4 linked regions of the Saccharomyces cerevisiae S288C genome follow. The gene in region 3 interacts genetically with the main gene of each other region. Each region holds a gene or a part of one and is shown on either strand. Other genes may lie near its edges. The genes, in order: YAP3, VAC7, PPQ1 and REA1.

Evidence for each region.
Region 1: mutations in PPQ1 (region 3) and YAP3 together harm fitness more than expected from each alone (negative genetic interaction), as found in Saccharomyces cerevisiae (one large-scale study listed by BioGRID).
Region 2: mutations in PPQ1 (region 3) and VAC7 together harm fitness more than expected from each alone (negative genetic interaction), as found in Saccharomyces cerevisiae (one large-scale study listed by BioGRID).
Region 4: mutations in PPQ1 (region 3) and REA1 together harm fitness more than expected from each alone (negative genetic interaction), as found in Saccharomyces cerevisiae (one large-scale study listed by BioGRID).

Annotation. Positions count from the first base shown.
Region 1 is NC_001140.6:83,566-87,061, reverse strand, and holds YAP3 (Yap3p), read left to right. Parts: upstream 1-2,001; coding exon 2,002-2,994; downstream 2,995-3,496. Other genes in the region: YHL009W-A (gag protein), read right to left, coding at 1-1,153; ETP1 (Etp1p), read left to right, coding at 3,341-3,496. UniProt on the Saccharomyces cerevisiae protein: Transcription activator involved in the regulation of genes expressed in response to environmental changes.
Region 2 is NC_001146.8:524,407-530,086, forward strand, and holds VAC7 (Vac7p), read left to right. Parts: upstream 1-1,679; coding exon 1,680-5,177; downstream 5,178-5,680. Other genes in the region: tyrosine/serine/threonine protein phosphatase MSG5, read left to right, coding at 5,536-5,680. UniProt on the Saccharomyces cerevisiae protein: The PI(3,5)P2 regulatory complex regulates both the synthesis and turnover of phosphatidylinositol 3,5-bisphosphate (PtdIns(3,5)P2). Positively regulates FAB1 kinase activity.
Region 3 is NC_001148.4:206,631-210,352, reverse strand, and holds PPQ1 (protein-serine/threonine phosphatase), read right to left. Parts: upstream 2,197-3,722; coding exon 547-2,196; downstream 1-546. Other genes in the region: TCO89 (Tco89p), read right to left, coding at 2,706-3,722. UniProt on the Saccharomyces cerevisiae protein: Phosphatase involved in the regulation of protein synthesis. Affects translational accuracy.
Region 4 is NC_001144.5:360,735-365,477, reverse strand, and holds the start of REA1 (AAA family ATPase midasin), read left to right. Parts: upstream 1-1,739; coding exon 1,740-4,743. Other genes in the region: REX3 (RNA exonuclease), read right to left, coding at 148-1,362. UniProt on the Saccharomyces cerevisiae protein: Nuclear chaperone required for maturation and nuclear export of pre-60S ribosome subunits.

The sequences.
Region 1 (3,496 bases), on a different chromosome or scaffold from region 3:
TAAGTTGTTGTTGTCTCTGTGCACCTTGTAGATAATAGGTTTTTGAGAAATTGGTCGAGTCAGGCCTAAGTTCCCTATTTGGTTTCTTTTTGCAGTTAATTGAGCAATGGAAAACAGATTTGCAATACATGCAGCTATTTTCTATTTGATCGTCTGCAATTGGGCTCAAATCAATTACTGTTTCAATAACAGTATTGATTAGAAATTCTTCGTGATTAATTCCTACGTTATGTGGAATGTTGTACAAACGTTGTTTCACAGAATTTCTTAAGGATTCATGTAAGGTTCCCATGATAGCTTCTTGTAGGTAATCCTTTAGATTAGGACAATCTTGGCAGCATTTAGAAAAAATCCATTTTTCCATTAGTACCAACTTTTGAAGTTTATTCATTAACAATGCGGAATTTCTACATGTTGTATCAACCAAAACCTTTTCCCAGGCTCTAATTCTGACATCTCTACCATGTAAACTTCTATATTTGTTTTTTAAACCATCGATTATCCTAAAAATGTCAGTTGTATTTGTGTTCATGATATCTAAACTTTCACCGAGTCCTTCTTTGATTATCTTGCACAAGATTTCATTTTCACGAGGATCGATTTCTATGATATCATTTTCAAAGACATCATCAAATTGATATTTCTTGATGAATTTTTTAAAATTGTTTAAGAGAATAGGAATGTTCTCGACATTATTAGTCCTATAATCAAAAACACAATCCTTAGGGTAGAATCTTTTGTTGGTTGAAGTTAACGTATCGAATAAATAGTAAGTCCCTGTAGCATCTATATGTTCATGTAATATATTATTGTTCTCGTTTGTTTCCAATAATTGTATCTTTTCAACTAGATCCACAATCCTATTCTCAACCTTGTCAATGGTTTCTCCGAGTTTTAATAATTTTTCAGCTAGCATCTGAATATCATCAGTCTCAGAAAGTTTTTCCTCTTCTGCCTTTAAACCATTTAGTATGGTTTTAAACCTATTTAAGTTTCTTTGATATTGTTTCACCTGTTCATCTTTAATAGAAACTTTTCTTAATGATGATGGCGTCTGTCTGACAGTATCATTTGTTTTGACTTTCGATTGAATCCGCGCAGAAATGTTGTCGTCAATAACATTTCTTGTTTCATCCCTCACTGGGGTCGCCATGTTGATAATTAGAGGTAAAAAATTAGTATTAATGAAGAAGTGAGTACTGATCTTCTTATACTAAATAAGAGAGGTATATAAAACACACGCCGATTGGTCATATTAATTATGACCAATATAATAGTGATTCCGGTAGTTACTATACATTGATGTGACGACTCATATTCCTCATATATGTACCTACCATAACATGTTCAACTAATAGGTCTTTAACACCGCTTCAGTATTGTCTGAGCTTCTCGTTTAACATTCCTTCTGCAATAGGCGCAATCACACTTAAACGTATACGAGTTGTACATTAATATACGATGTAAGCATTAGATTGTTACCATAGCAACTCATGTCACTATCAATTACTCTCGTTCCAACAGTATGATTCATATTTTATATAATATATATAAGATAAGTAACATTCCGTGAATTAATCTGATAAACTGTTTTGACAACTGGTTACTTCCCTAAGACTGTTTGTATTAGGATTGTCAAGACACTCCGGTATTACTCGAGCCCGTAATACAACATAATCAATAAGAATTTGGTTTCGTGGTCTAGTCGGTTATGGCATCTGCTTAACACGCAGAACGTCCCCAGTTCGATCCTGGGCGAAATCAATTTTTTTTGAATTTTTTTTTTTTCTTTAGAAAAATGTATAGTGGATTTTCGTAGCTTTATGTTAAGAGTACAGCAACGGCATTATTATTCAATAAGCATTATAAAACAGATCGATTTGAATATTACCGGAGGCCCTCTGAGCTTTCTTATTTGTTTATCATTTCGATAAAAGGGGCAGTAGGTGTTTGCTTTACTTCCAGTATAAACTAACGAAGAATAAGGCTGAAGCAATTGTTATGACGCCTTCTAATATGGATGATAATACCAGCGGATTCATGAAATTTATTAACCCTCAATGCCAAGAGGAGGATTGTTGTATCAGAAATAGTCTATTCCAAGAAGATAGCAAATGTATAAAACAACAACCAGACCTATTGAGCGAGCAAACAGCACCCTTCCCAATTTTGGAAGACCAGTGTCCTGCTTTGAACCTTGACAGATCAAATAATGATTTGCTATTACAGAACAACATATCTTTCCCTAAGGGTAGTGATCTTCAAGCAATTCAACTAACCCCTATTTCAGGCGACTACTCTACCTATGTTATGGCAGATAACAATAATAATGATAATGATAGTTATAGTAATACAAATTATTTTTCTAAAAATAATGGTATATCTCCAAGTTCGAGGAGTCCCTCAGTTGCTCATAATGAGAATGTTCCAGATGACTCTAAGGCAAAGAAAAAGGCTCAAAACAGAGCCGCCCAAAAAGCCTTCAGAGAGAGAAAAGAAGCCAGAATGAAAGAATTACAAGATAAATTGTTAGAAAGTGAAAGGAACCGCCAAAGTTTATTGAAAGAAATTGAGGAACTAAGAAAGGCAAATACTGAAATCAACGCAGAGAACAGACTGCTACTGCGGAGTGGTAATGAAAATTTTTCAAAGGACATAGAAGATGATACCAACTACAAATATTCTTTCCCAACGAAAGATGAATTTTTTACCTCTATGGTCCTGGAAAGCAAACTGAATCACAAAGGCAAGTATTCGCTAAAGGATAATGAAATTATGAAGCGAAATACCCAGTATACTGACGAAGCAGGAAGACATGTACTAACAGTCCCCGCCACCTGGGAGTATCTTTACAAACTTTCAGAAGAGAGGGACTTTGATGTGACATACGTTATGAGCAAATTGCAAGGACAAGAATGTTGTCATACCCATGGACCTGCGTATCCAAGAAGTTTAATCGATTTTCTAGTGGAGGAAGCTACTTTGAATGAATGAATAGACTTTGACAAAAATAACTTACAAACACTAAATAAGAAAGGGCAGGCAACATCTTCATGAGGCAAACCAGGTTCTTTTTTTATTGACTTCGAAGTATACATTTTCATCGCATAATTGACACACAATACGCCCTTTACCATTCCAACCTACTACACCTTTTACTTATATAAGTGTATAAACTATGTTCTTACGCGGTGTTTTTAGGGGACGGCCTGTTATAAAATGGAAAATATAAAAATGAAATTTCACCCGCGGATTAAGTAAAAGTTCAAAGGAAAACACATAGAGGCAATAACGGAATAGTAGCATTGAATGTATTACTTTCTGGTTGGCCCTCACATCTATGGATCAATTTGAGTATATCATTACTTTAGAATTTGGAAACCAAAATCAGGTTGAATCCGCTTATCAAATTTTCAAGAGTATTCCGAAAAAGTTGAAGGCAAAAAGTATCGGGGAAGAAAGTATTAAAAGTAATAATCAAGACTGGCAGGATTGG
Region 2 (5,680 bases), on a different chromosome or scaffold from region 3:
AGTGAAGCTATTCCGCTATTGAATAACCTCAGTCACCTTGTGCAAGAACTTAACAAGAAACCAATTATTAAAGGCTTACTTACTGATAGTAGATCAACGATCAGTATAATTAAGTCTACAAATGAAGAGAAATTTAGAAACAGATTTTTTGGCACAAAGGCAATGAGACTTAGAGATGAAGTATCAGGTAATAATTTATACGTATACTACATCGAGACCAAGAAGAACATTGCTGATGTGATGACAAAACCTCTTCCGATAAAAACATTTAAACTATTAACTAACAAATGGATTCATTAGATCTATTACATTATGGGTGGTATGTTGGAATAAAAATCAACTATCATCTACTAACTAGTATTTACGTTACTAGTATATTATCATATACGGTGTTAGAAGATGACGCAAATGATGAGAAATAGTCATCTAAATTAGTGGAAGCTGAAACGCAAGGATTGATAATGTAATAGGATCAATGAATATTAACATATAAAACGATGATAATAATATTTATAGAATTGTGTAGAATTACAGATTTCCTTTTATGGATTCCTAAATCCTCGAGGAGAACTTCTAGTATATTCTGTATACCTAATATTATAGCCTTTATCAACAATGGAATCCCAACAATTATCTCAACATTCACCCATTTCTCAAAACTATCACGGAATACTAATCGAAGACTAGTGACGCACGTTACGCTATAGCAACAACGTCACAAGGATAACGTTAGTAGTTTTTTGGAAGGACAATTGCAAACTATATGTAAACGAACGAAGACACACAGTCCAAAGCTGTAACAACAACCACATATATAAATGGTAGTCTTCTAGGAAACTTCACTGTAAGATTAGATACGTAGAGGTGAAAGACAAGTTGAAGTTTGGATCGGAAGTTCCATTAATATTTGGGTAAGTAAGTTCGCCGCGCGGCAGAAACGGTGAGTACTTACTCACTTTTGTTCTAACTACAACAAAAAACTGTAAAAGTGGTGTAAGGTTTACGTTCCGTTTTGGTTGCAAATCATCAGCCCTGGTTTAAGCTTTATGTCCAACATTGGTTAGCGAAGGCACCGTACTGGTCTCGATGTCGGTGAGCAGGGGCGGCGAAATTCATTCCAATCTTGGATAATATATATGTATATATCTATACACGCGGCGAGATCTTGTCCTCTAATTTCCCTTCGCTAAATCATTAAGAGGTCATTCATGAAGTTAATTCAGCACCAAAGTTGGACTGTTAGACACGAGATACACATTGCAGTCCAAATGTGCAGATTTTTCAGATAATTGTCGTCGCACAAGACTGCCCCTCCCGTCCTCAGACAGACACAAAATTAGATTTTACGTTTACATAAAGATGTACATAACTTGAAAAAACGTTAATCCCTCTTAAATTTAGACCTTGTAAGTCTTCCTGGCCACTCTTTGTGATATATTGTAGTGCAATATATTGATTCGTTCTTCTTATTTCTTTGTTCTTAGGCATTTCCGCTTTAGAAAATTCGTTGGGTGGTTTCTGCGACGGGTATCCCCTTCGATTTTGCATAATGATCTTCAATTCTACAACTAAAATCAAGTAGATACAGGAAAATATTCCATAAATTATAGTGTAAATCGCCCTGTATACACCTTATCGTTTCATCTCAGGCAAGTTAAAGCATTTGGGAAACGTGCTAGATGACAGAAGAAGATAGAAAGCTCACTGTAGAGACAGAAACAGTTGAGGCACCCGTGGCAAATAATCTTTTATTGTCGAATAACAGTAATGTAGTAGCACCTAATCCTTCTATTCCCTCTGCCTCCACATCTACCTCTCCGCTACACAGGGAAATAGTTGATGATTCTGTCGCTACTGCTAACACCACCAGCAACGTTGTACAGCATAATTTGCCCACCATAGATAACAATTTAATGGATTCCGATGCCACGTCACATAATCAAGATCATTGGCATTCAGACATAAACAGGGCAGGAACATCAATGTCAACGAGTGATATCCCAACAGATTTACATTTAGAACATATCGGCTCTGTTTCATCAACTAATAATAATAGTAACAATGCCCTAATCAACCACAACCCTCTGTCATCTCATCTTTCCAATCCGTCATCTTCATTACGAAACAAGAAGAGCTCTTTGTTGGTAGCTTCTAACCCTGCGTTTGCTTCAGATGTTGAACTCTCGAAGAAGAAACCTGCCGTCATCTCCAATAATATGCCTACAAGTAACATTGCCCTTTATCAAACAGCGAGATCGGCGAATATTCATGGTCCATCATCAACTTCCGCATCTAAAGCGTTCAGAAAGGCTTCGGCCTTCTCCAATAACACGGCACCCAGCACTAGTAATAACATCGGCTCGAATACACCTCCAGCTCCTCTTTTACCTCTACCTTCACTATCACAACAAAATAAGCCAAAAATAATAGAGAGGCCCACAATGCACGTCACTAATTCAAGAGAAATACTTTTAGGTGAAAACCTGTTAGATGATACAAAGGCGAAGAATGCTCCCGCGAATTCAACCACACACGATAATGGTCCAGTAGCAAATGATGGGCTGCGTATACCGAATCACTCGAACGCAGATGATAATGAAAATAACAACAAAATGAAGAAGAATAAAAACATTAATAGTGGGAAAAATGAACGTAATGATGACACCAGCAAAATATGCACTACATCTACTAAAACAGCGCCTTCAACCGCACCTTTGGGCAGTACAGACAATACTCAGGCTCTCACTGCTAGTGTCTCCAGCAGTAATGCTGACAATCACAATAATAACAAGAAGAAAACCAGCAGCAACAACAACGGCAATAACAGTAATAGTGCATCCAATAAAACCAATGCCGATATCAAGAATTCTAACGCCGACTTGAGCGCTTCTACCTCTAACAATAATGCAATAAATGACGACTCACATGAGAGTAATTCAGAAAAACCAACAAAGGCGGATTTTTTCGCTGCAAGGCTGGCTACAGCTGTAGGTGAAAATGAAATTAGTGATTCTGAGGAAACATTTGTTTATGAATCGGCAGCTAATTCGACTAAAAACCTAATATTTCCTGACTCCTCCAGCCAGCAGCAGCAGCAGCAACAGCAACCTCCAAAACAACAGCAACAGCAACAAAATCATGGAATAACCTCAAAGATAAGCGCCCCATTGCTAAACAATAACAAAAAATTATTAAGCCGACTGAAAAATTCAAGACATATTAGCACTGGTGCCATATTGAATAACACAATCGCGACTATAAGCACAAATCCGAACTTGAATTCTAATGTGATGCAGAACAATAACAATCTGATGTCGGGACACAATCACCTGGACGAGTTGAGCAGTATAAAACAGGAGCCACCGCATCAATTGCAGCAGCAGCAACCACCAATGGATGTACAATCGGTAGATTCGTATACCTCTGACAACCCAGACAGCAATGTTATTGCCAAGTCGCCTGATAAGAGGTCAAGCTTAGTATCCCTATCTAAAGTTTCTCCACATTTACTTTCATCCACATCAAGCAACGGTAACACAATATCGTGTCCCAATGTTGCCACAAATTCGCAGGAATTGGAACCAAACAATGATATTTCAACGAAGAAATCTCTTTCCAATTCTACTTTGAGACATTCCTCTGCTAATAGAAATTCTAATTATGGTGACAACAAAAGGCCTCTTAGAACAACAGTGTCAAAGATATTTGATTCAAACCCTAATGGAGCTCCTTTACGGAGATACTCTGGGGTACCGGATCACGTTAATCTAGAAGATTACATCGAACAGCCGCATAATTATCCAACAATGCAAAATAGTGTGAAAAAGGATGAATTTTATAACAGCAGGAACAATAAGTTTCCCCATGGTTTAAACTTTTATGGTGATAACAATGTTATTGAAGAGGAAAATAATGGTGACTCGTCTAATGTAAATCGACCGCAACACACTAACCTTCAGCATGAGTTTATTCCAGAAGATAACGAAAGTGATGAAAACGATATTCACTCCATGTTTTATTATAATCATAAGAACGATTTAGAAACAAAACCGCTAATATCCGATTATGGTGAAGATGAAGACGTAGATGATTATGATCGCCCAAATGCTACTTTCAACAGTTACTATGGCTCAGCATCCAACACGCACGAACTTCCATTACATGGAAGGATGCCTTCAAGATCAAATAATGATTACTACGATTTTATGGTTGGCAACAATACTGGCAATAACAACCAATTGAATGAATATACCCCCTTAAGAATGAAACGTGGTCAAAGACACCTATCAAGAACAAACAATAGCATAATGAATGGTAGCATCCATATGAATGGTAACGATGACGTTACCCATTCCAATATCAATAATAACGATATTGTTGGTTACTCACCGCACAACTTTTACTCAAGGAAGTCCCCATTTGTGAAAGTAAAGAATTTTCTTTATCTTGCATTTGTTATATCATCACTATTGATGACAGGATTCATTCTGGGATTTTTATTGGCCACTAATAAAGAACTACAAGATGTAGACGTGGTAGTGATGGATAATGTGATTTCAAGTTCGGACGAGTTGATCTTCGACATCACAGTAAGTGCTTTTAATCCAGGATTCTTCAGTATAAGCGTTTCCCAAGTCGATTTGGACATTTTTGCAAAAAGTTCTTACCTGAAGTGCGATTCTAATGGTGACTGTACAGTAATGGAACAGGAACGGAAAATTTTACAAATAACGACAAATCTTTCGTTAGTTGAAGAGAGTGCTAATAATGATATTAGTGGTGGGAACATAGAGACGGTATTACTAGGAACCGCTAAAAAACTAGAGACACCATTAAAGTTCCAGGGCGGCGCATTTAATAGGAACTACGATGTGTCAGTCTCGAGTGTCAAGCTTTTAAGTCCTGGGTCTCGTGAAGCCAAGCACGAAAACGACGATGATGACGATGATGATGGCGACGATGGTGACGATGAAAACAATACTAATGAAAGACAATACAAAAGCAAACCAAATGCTAGAGATGACAAAGAAGATGATACTAAAAAATGGAAGCTACTAATCAAGCATGATTACGAATTGATAGTCCGTGGAAGCATGAAGTATGAGGTGCCCTTTTTCAATACGCAAAAATCTACGGCTATTCAAAAGGATTCCATGGTCCATCCTGGTAAGAAGTGAGTGTTAAGAATGTAGCTTTTTCGTCAAAGCTGGGTATTTTTCTTTTTATAGCGCAGGAGCGGAAGGCAATTTCCAAAACAGGAATGTACTTTCCAAAAAAGGAAAATGTAGTTTGTTTTTTGATGTTTTTTTCTCTTTGACTATTTCAAATTTAGAAGTGAAAAAATACAAAAATGTTACATAGGATTCGATACAGTGTAATATATCATTATTATTACTTTTAAATAAAGCGTTTAGTAAACAAGAGTGAGGGTTATGCAACTCGTTTAGTAAACATTCTTTTTTTTTTCTTCATTTAAGTATAAGACAACAATAGTAGCGGAAGCGATAGTAATACATTTGGTAGCGATAAGTGCACATGCAATTTCACTCAGATAAGCAGCATTTGGACAGTAAAACCGACATCGATTTCAAGCCAAACTCACCGCGTTCCTTACAAAATAGGAATACCAAAAATTTATCTTTAGATATAGCAGCACTCCATCCATTAATGGAATTCTCAT
Region 3 (3,722 bases):
ATTATCGTAATAATATGCAGATAATATACATATATACGTATTACGCCGATTAGGCTGACACTTTAACAAAATTTTCTGTCCAATTATTGTCCGATATAGTGTAACGGCTATCACATCACGCTTTCACCGTGGAGACCGGGGTTCGACTCCCCGTATCGGAGTTTTCTTTTTGCTTCCTTCCGCCCTTCCAAGTTGTTGCATAATCTTATCTGTCAAAATATGAACGCTTGAAAACTATAGATTATAATTATCATTTATTTAGCCATAATGGAGGGAAGAATAATATGATTGCATATCAAAGGTAAAAAAAGTCGAGTAAATGACTTATAAACGTAAAAAATATATTGATAAAAGACATAAACGAGGCCATGAAGGTGGGAAAAAAAAAAATAACTGCATAATAATGTTAACTAAATGAAAATAAAATGAAAAATAAAATGAAAAATAAAATGAAAAAAACAAATCATAGGACAAAAAGTTTCCAAATGAAGGATAAGAGGCCTAAAAACCAATGTGCTTTCCAGGCAAAACCAATCTTAGCAACAGCTACACTTTGGTTTTGTATAACTTCTTTTTATTTTTCAATGCACGCGGCTTTAACAGTTCAAAGCTACACATCATACCCGTTGTAACGCTCATTACTGCCCCCCAATTATGAAATTCTCCACAATAATTTGGTGCTGAAAAGATTGTGACAAACTTTTTCCTGGCAAAGAATTCATAACCATCTTCTACGACCATATGTCCCCTAAGTATTAAATCGAATTTAAACTTAGCACAAAAATCAAGAACGTTCCTCTTAGAAAATGTGTATGAAACACCACGATCATTTTCTGACCAATCAGTTACTTGAGGGTCTGGGTCACTCCACAGTAAGTCTGTAACCAGCCCGCTTTCAGGAATATCCGTTGGTCTTGCGACTTTTTCGATTTGCTTCATGTCATGTAAATCGGGCGATATACCTCCATGAACGCAAAAGATCTTATCTTGAATAATTGCTGCTAATGGCAAAGTATTAAATACGTCAACGAACATTTTCCATACTTTCGAGCTCAATCGCCTTTTGCATTCATCATAGAAACCGTACATCTTTGTGACATTAGCAGATTCGTGATTACCCCTTAACATAAAAAAGTTGTCTTTGTACTTTATTTTGTAACATAATAACAATAGTATTGTTTCCAATGAGTTCTTACCACGGTCCACATAATCACCCAAGAACAGATAATTAGTATCAGATGGCACACCAGACAACTTCAAAATTCTCAATAAATCATTAAATTGTCCATGAACATCACCGACAACTTTGATAGGCGCTTGTAATCTCAAAAGAGTAGGTTGATTCAAAAAAATTTCTCTTGCATGATAGCAAATGAGTTGAATTTCCCAAGAATGGAATGGAAAGTTCTTTTTTTTGGACGTTTTTGTAATTTCTCTTGACTCACCCACTTGTAGTAATTTTTCGATCGCAACATCGATATCAAGACCTTCATTTGAAGAGGTATCATGAGAATACCGTCTCAAAAATATAGGCTTCTTGCTACTTTTAGGATTAGGTATCCCAGATGTTGGGGACGAAGGCGCACCAAAAGAACCTGCCTTAACCGAAGATGAAGGAGACTTAACTCTGGACGATAACCCTGAAGATTTTAAAAATGATGAGGTTGATGAGGAAGCAGACGTAGCGGATGAGTAGTAGGAGGAAAAAGAATATGAGGATGGAGAAGAATAATTTGATTCACGATAAGAGGGTGATGTCAGGATATTATTTGAGGTAGTGGCAGTGGTAGTAGAGGAAGTTCTTGCGGTATTGATCAGCTTCGGAGCAGTTGCTGATGAGGATAGGGCTTTAGCGACAGAAACATCGATATCTAGGTACAAGCTCTTCAAGTTTTCATCCTTAGTGTATATTTTCTGTTTATGGGCATTCTCACCAGGAATGAGCAAATTATCATTGCTAGCTCGTTTATTGTTGTTGTTTTTCCCGGCCGATGCTAAAGTGTTGTAATTGTTTATAGAATGTTTATTATTGAATTTCTTGATAGTAGGTAGAGACCTACTATCATCTGGGTCATTAGGTTCGTTACTGTTGAGATCATCTGAAGGTGTAGTTAATTGTTGCTGACTAGAGTTTGAATTAGTTGAGCAATTCGGTACTGCAAAGTTATTATTTGATCTGGACGGGCTTCTTCTCATAAATAGAATATAAGTGAAGGGAAAACAATATCTAACTTGAAAGGAAAATGGACTAAAGTAATAAAATAGGTTTTTTGTAAGGACAAGCTTGTAAATGAAACGTCAGAGACTCGGTAAAACAAGATTAATTTGAATGTAGTGATTCTGACCGATAGTATTTATAGTCCGTGAGGAATACTTACCAAAAAATTGCTAAAAGAATAGACACGTTTAAGGTATATTTACTAATGCCATTTTTTAAGAGATACGGAATCCAGCGAAATCGCTAAATTTGCGGTGGTTGCATTCAACGTTTTTCTTTCTTTTTGTTCGATAATTTATCATTTATTACGTTAACCGGGTTATACAAATACGCCTCGTTAGCTCGTATAGAAGTACATGTCCTTTTATAGTGCATAAACATAGTATGTTCCTTAAGTGTCCAAACATATTCGCTCTCTACGAACTTCGCGTTTTACCTCGAAAGCATTAGCTACTCTTTTAAACTGTGTGCTTCGTGTTGGTTGTTTTCACCTTTGTTGTGGCTGTGTATGCATGTAGCCCACATTTTCCATCCTGCGATTCACTGCCCTCGTAGTCGGCTGCAGAGAGTTAATGACGCGTTGGTGGTGCAAAGTCGTGCTGGAACCCATCGGGCCCCTCAGCAAGTTACGTGCATTCTGTGAAGCAGTGTGGCCAACGCTGTGGTTTGTACTCGTTGTCCTATTCTTGTTGATTGGATTAACATCCTTGTTAAATAAGTAACTTTCGCTTTTCCATATACCGGACAACACTGCCTGAATCTTTGCACTTGCAAGATGTGGATAAAGATCATCAAATTTTTTGTCATAGTTAGTAAAGAGCAAATCGTCCTCATCCTTATGATCTGTATCACTGCTAGAATGTGCGATTGACTGAGCATCGTTATGGCTTTTTTTCCTGATATTATTTGCATTTCCCGTTATTATAGGTTGTACTCTCAACAATGCTTCATCTAATGGGTTGTAAAATCTTTTTACATTAGAGTATTCATGGGATATTCTCTCAAACTCCCTTTTCGCATCAATGTTTCCTGCCATAAAGATAGAGTCACTACCGTCATTTTGTGAACTTAAGTCCATAATAGAATTCTCCCTCTGCAACCATAATTTTCTTTGTGTTCTTGATTCTGCATCAATCCCATCTGATTTAAGGAACTGGGCGAAGCTATTAAATTTGGCACCTGAGTTGGATTGTCTGTTTGCATCGCTACCGGAGTTCGTACTAGATGTAATATGTTCGTTGGACAATGGAGAGGCCGGGGCTGCAGAATTTTTGTTGAGATCGTTGGATCTCAGAAGTAGATTCTGATTACCTTTCTTGTGAAAAATATTATTCATTCTTGAACCATGGAAGCTTTCAGGAGCAGCTCTCCTCAAATTATTGGTTAAACTCGATATGGAGGTCGAAAAGTTGTGCTGTGGTACATTATTATCTTTACTACCGATGTTAGCAATGGTGGGGAAAGTAGACTGAGAGTTCGGTATATTTTGGCCAAGTTGAGATCT
Region 4 (4,743 bases), on a different chromosome or scaffold from region 3:
GTTCGCTTAAATACAGAAAATAGGAAAGCAATACGAAATCATTACTTTTATCATGTTGTTTCTTAACGTAATTACTTAATAAAACTCATGTGAACCGTATGAAATGTAATAACTATATATGTCTGCTCAACTTTGAATATGATCACATTATTTTTCCCACTTGTTTTGACTTGGAGAAATACCTATTTTGACTTTAACAACGTCCATCGTTGCTATTGCATCTTGAGAACTATCATGCTCGCCATTTTGGATTTTTCTACTCAAAACTTCAAACGCTAAGTTCTTCAAAGAAACCTTAAACTTTGTTCTTGAATAAAGTATTGCAGTATCTATAACCTTATTATGAAATAGCCTCATGACGTTCAGATCGTTCTCTAGTCCGTGCCCTATAAGAATACTATTTTTATTTATTAAGTTTTCGGATAAAAAAACATCAAGTGCCTCCTTGTACGTCGGGCAATTGGTTCGGTCAATCTCATGGACACCACTGAAGTCTGAATTCAGATCGACAATATCCCCTATTGGCTGAATTACATGATCAAATAGTGTCTTGCCGGTGAAAAAATCCACAATTGTTAAACGTATCATCTCATAGCCCAATGATGTAAAAGCCATTTCACAGTCAAGAGAAAGAACATTCTCAACACCATCAATGTCATCTGTACTAGAAAACTTCGAAATTTTGCATAACTCGTCATATGATTCTCCTCTAAACACATGGTGAAAAAACGTCTTGCATCCTAGCCTTAGAAAAGAAACGGAATCAGTAGTTTCACCACAGCATGGATACTGATGGTTCTTGGTATCTCTGTTGTATATTCTTTTCAAAGGGTGATACCTACATAGAGTCTTTTCCATGATGTCTGTTTTTTTGAAATTTGAGCTGCAACGCAAACAAGGTGCATACAGTTGCGTACTATTGTCATCATTAGTTTTATTTTGCATTTCCTTAACAATATACCCATTTTTCTCTAAGACCTTCGAATCCAAAATCAGAGCCTTTAAAGCTTCCATCGCTTTTGATTTTGTAGTGATAGAGTTTGCATTACCAATTGAGGATAAATGAGGCTTAGCTCCTTTAAGGGGGCGCCCATTAATTTTGATCTTCGAGAGATCTCCTTTATATTTAAGCACATCCCGCAGTAAAATGCTCATGTTAAACTTGTAACTCTGACCAGACAAGCTGTTTTTAGCAACATGGACTTCTAAGCGAGTGGCAAGTCTTTCAAGGTCAATATTAGTTCCTTTTGTGTGTGCATATGCCTTTTGTAGCTGCTTGAATAATTTCTGCAAAATTTTATATCTTTCTTGGAATCCAAGCGGTTGATTTACCAGATCAACCGGTCTCAACAAACTTCCCATACTAAAGCTTTCTCTTGATATATAGTCAAACTGAATGTATACTGAAACACATATTCAAGGCATTGATTTTAAATGCACTTGAACCGTTATTCCATTTCTTTTTCTACTCATCATTTATTGTCGCCCTTTACGAGGTATTTTTTCTTTTTCGAGTGAAAAATTTTAAAGAAGCGATGAGCTAAGGTCTATTTAGCTTTATGAAAAGAAAACATTATATCACTTACTGCTTTACTTTAGACATTCCTCTCCAAAGTGATTATTTTAAAGATTCAAAGTACCTCTGAGTTAATTTGACATCGAATTCTACTCTTATTATTTTAAGGTACCTCTACTTTACGCGGTCACATTATTTTTAAAACCGTTATAATCTGCTGAGAATGTCCCAGGATAGAATTTTGTTAGATTTAGACGTAGTTAACCAAAGGTTAATTCTCTTCAATTCTGCTTTTCCCTCTGATGCTATTGAAGCGCCCTTCCACTTTAGCAACAAGGAATCAACTTCTGAGAATTTAGACAATTTAGCAGGAACTATACTACATAGCCGTTCCATCACTGGTCATGTTTTCCTTTACAAACATATTTTTTTAGAGATAGTGGCACGTTGGATAAAGGACTCCAAAAAAAAAGATTACGTTCTTGTAATTGAAAAGTTGGCAAGTATAATTACAATATTTCCCGTTGCAATGCCATTAATTGAAGACTATTTAGATAAAGAGAATGATCATTTCATCACTATTCTTCAAAATCCATCCACACAAAAGGATTCCGACATGTTTAAAATACTATTAGCATACTATAGGTTACTATATCACAATAAAGAAGTATTTGCACGCTTCATTCAACCCGACATTTTATACCAACTTGTGGATTTACTCACCAAAGAACAAGAAAATCAGGTTGTTATATTTCTAGCATTAAAGGTTTTATCTTTATACTTAGACATGGGAGAAAAAACATTAAACGATATGCTCGACACTTATATAAAATCACGCGATTCATTGTTGGGCCATTTTGAGGGCGATTCTGGAATTGATTACAGCTTCCTCGAACTGAACGAAGCTAAGAGATGTGCAAATTTCTCTAAACTACCCAGTGTTCCAGAATGTTTCACTATAGAAAAAAAATCTAGCTACTTCATTATTGAGCCTCAGGATTTGAGTACTAAGGTCGCGTCAATCTGTGGCGTTATCGTCCCTAAGGTCCACACTATCCACGACAAAGTATTCTACCCATTAACCTTTGTCCCTACTCATAAAACGGTTTCCTCTCTTCGTCAACTCGGGAGAAAGATTCAAAATTCAACTCCAATAATGCTCATTGGAAAAGCGGGATCCGGTAAAACCTTTTTAATCAATGAGCTAAGTAAATATATGGGTTGCCATGACTCCATTGTGAAAATTCATTTAGGTGAACAAACTGATGCCAAGTTACTGATTGGTACTTATACCTCTGGTGACAAGCCAGGCACGTTTGAATGGAGAGCTGGTGTTCTCGCTACCGCGGTCAAAGAAGGGAGATGGGTACTTATAGAAGACATAGATAAAGCTCCTACAGATGTTTTATCAATACTTTTATCGCTTTTAGAAAAGCGCGAACTAACCATTCCATCCAGAGGAGAGACTGTAAAGGCTGCAAATGGTTTCCAGTTAATATCAACTGTTAGAATAAACGAAGATCATCAGAAGGATAGTTCCAATAAGATCTATAACTTGAATATGATTGGTATGAGAATCTGGAATGTTATTGAATTAGAGGAACCTAGCGAAGAGGATTTGACACACATTTTAGCCCAAAAGTTTCCCATTTTGACCAACCTTATCCCCAAACTAATCGATTCATACAAAAACGTCAAAAGTATTTATATGAACACCAAGTTCATTTCATTGAACAAGGGGGCACACACAAGAGTTGTATCTGTAAGAGATTTAATTAAGCTGTGCGAAAGGTTAGACATCCTATTCAAAAACAATGGCATCAACAAACCTGACCAACTAATCCAGTCTTCTGTCTACGACAGTATTTTCTCCGAAGCCGCCGACTGTTTCGCTGGCGCTATTGGAGAATTCAAAGCTTTGGAACCTATTATACAAGCAATCGGCGAGTCATTAGACATTGCTTCCTCAAGGATTTCGTTATTTTTGACCCAACATGTGCCCACTTTGGAAAACCTTGATGATAGCATTAAAATTGGAAGAGCCGTATTACTTAAGGAAAAGCTAAATATACAAAAAAAATCAATGAACAGCACATTGTTCGCATTTACGAATCATTCTTTAAGACTAATGGAACAGATTTCTGTTTGTATACAGATGACTGAACCTGTTTTACTAGTCGGTGAAACGGGTACCGGGAAAACTACAGTCGTTCAACAACTTGCTAAGATGTTAGCAAAAAAATTAACGGTAATCAATGTTTCACAACAAACAGAAACTGGTGATCTTCTTGGTGGGTACAAACCCGTAAATTCTAAAACAGTTGCAGTTCCTATACAAGAAAATTTTGAAACTCTTTTTAATGCTACATTTTCCTTAAAGAAGAACGAGAAGTTTCACAAGATGCTACATAGGTGCTTCAACAAGAATCAATGGAAGAACGTTGTTAAACTTTGGAACGAAGCGTACAAAATGGCTCAAAGCATATTAAAAATTACAAACACTGAAAATGAAAACGAAAATGCAAAGAAGAAGAAAAGAAGACTCAATACTCATGAAAAAAAATTGTTACTTGACAAATGGGCTGACTTCAATGACTCAGTGAAGAAGTTTGAGGCCCAGTCTAGCTCTATTGAAAACTCGTTTGTCTTCAATTTTGTCGAGGGTTCTTTGGTAAAGACTATCAGGGCTGGGGAGTGGCTATTGCTCGATGAAGTGAATTTAGCAACCGCAGATACCTTAGAAAGTATTTCTGACCTTCTCACCGAGCCTGATTCTCGTAGTATTCTTCTTTCAGAAAAGGGTGACGCTGAGCCTATAAAAGCTCACCCCGATTTTAGAATATTTGCTTGTATGAACCCCGCTACTGATGTTGGTAAAAGAGACTTACCTATGGGTATCAGATCAAGATTTACCGAAATATATGTACATTCTCCGGAACGTGATATTACTGATTTGCTTTCCATAATTGATAAATATATTGGAAAGTACAGCGTCAGCGATGAATGGGTAGGAAATGACATCGCTGAACTTTACCTTGAAGCCAAAAAACTCTCCGATAACAATACTATAGTTGATGGCTCAAACCAAAAACCACACTTTAGTATCCGTACCCTGACGCGTACATTGCTTTATGTTACTGATATTATTCATATCTACGGTCTACGCCGTTCCCTGTATGATGGATTCTGTATGAGTTTTTTGACTTTACTGGACCAAAAATCTGAGG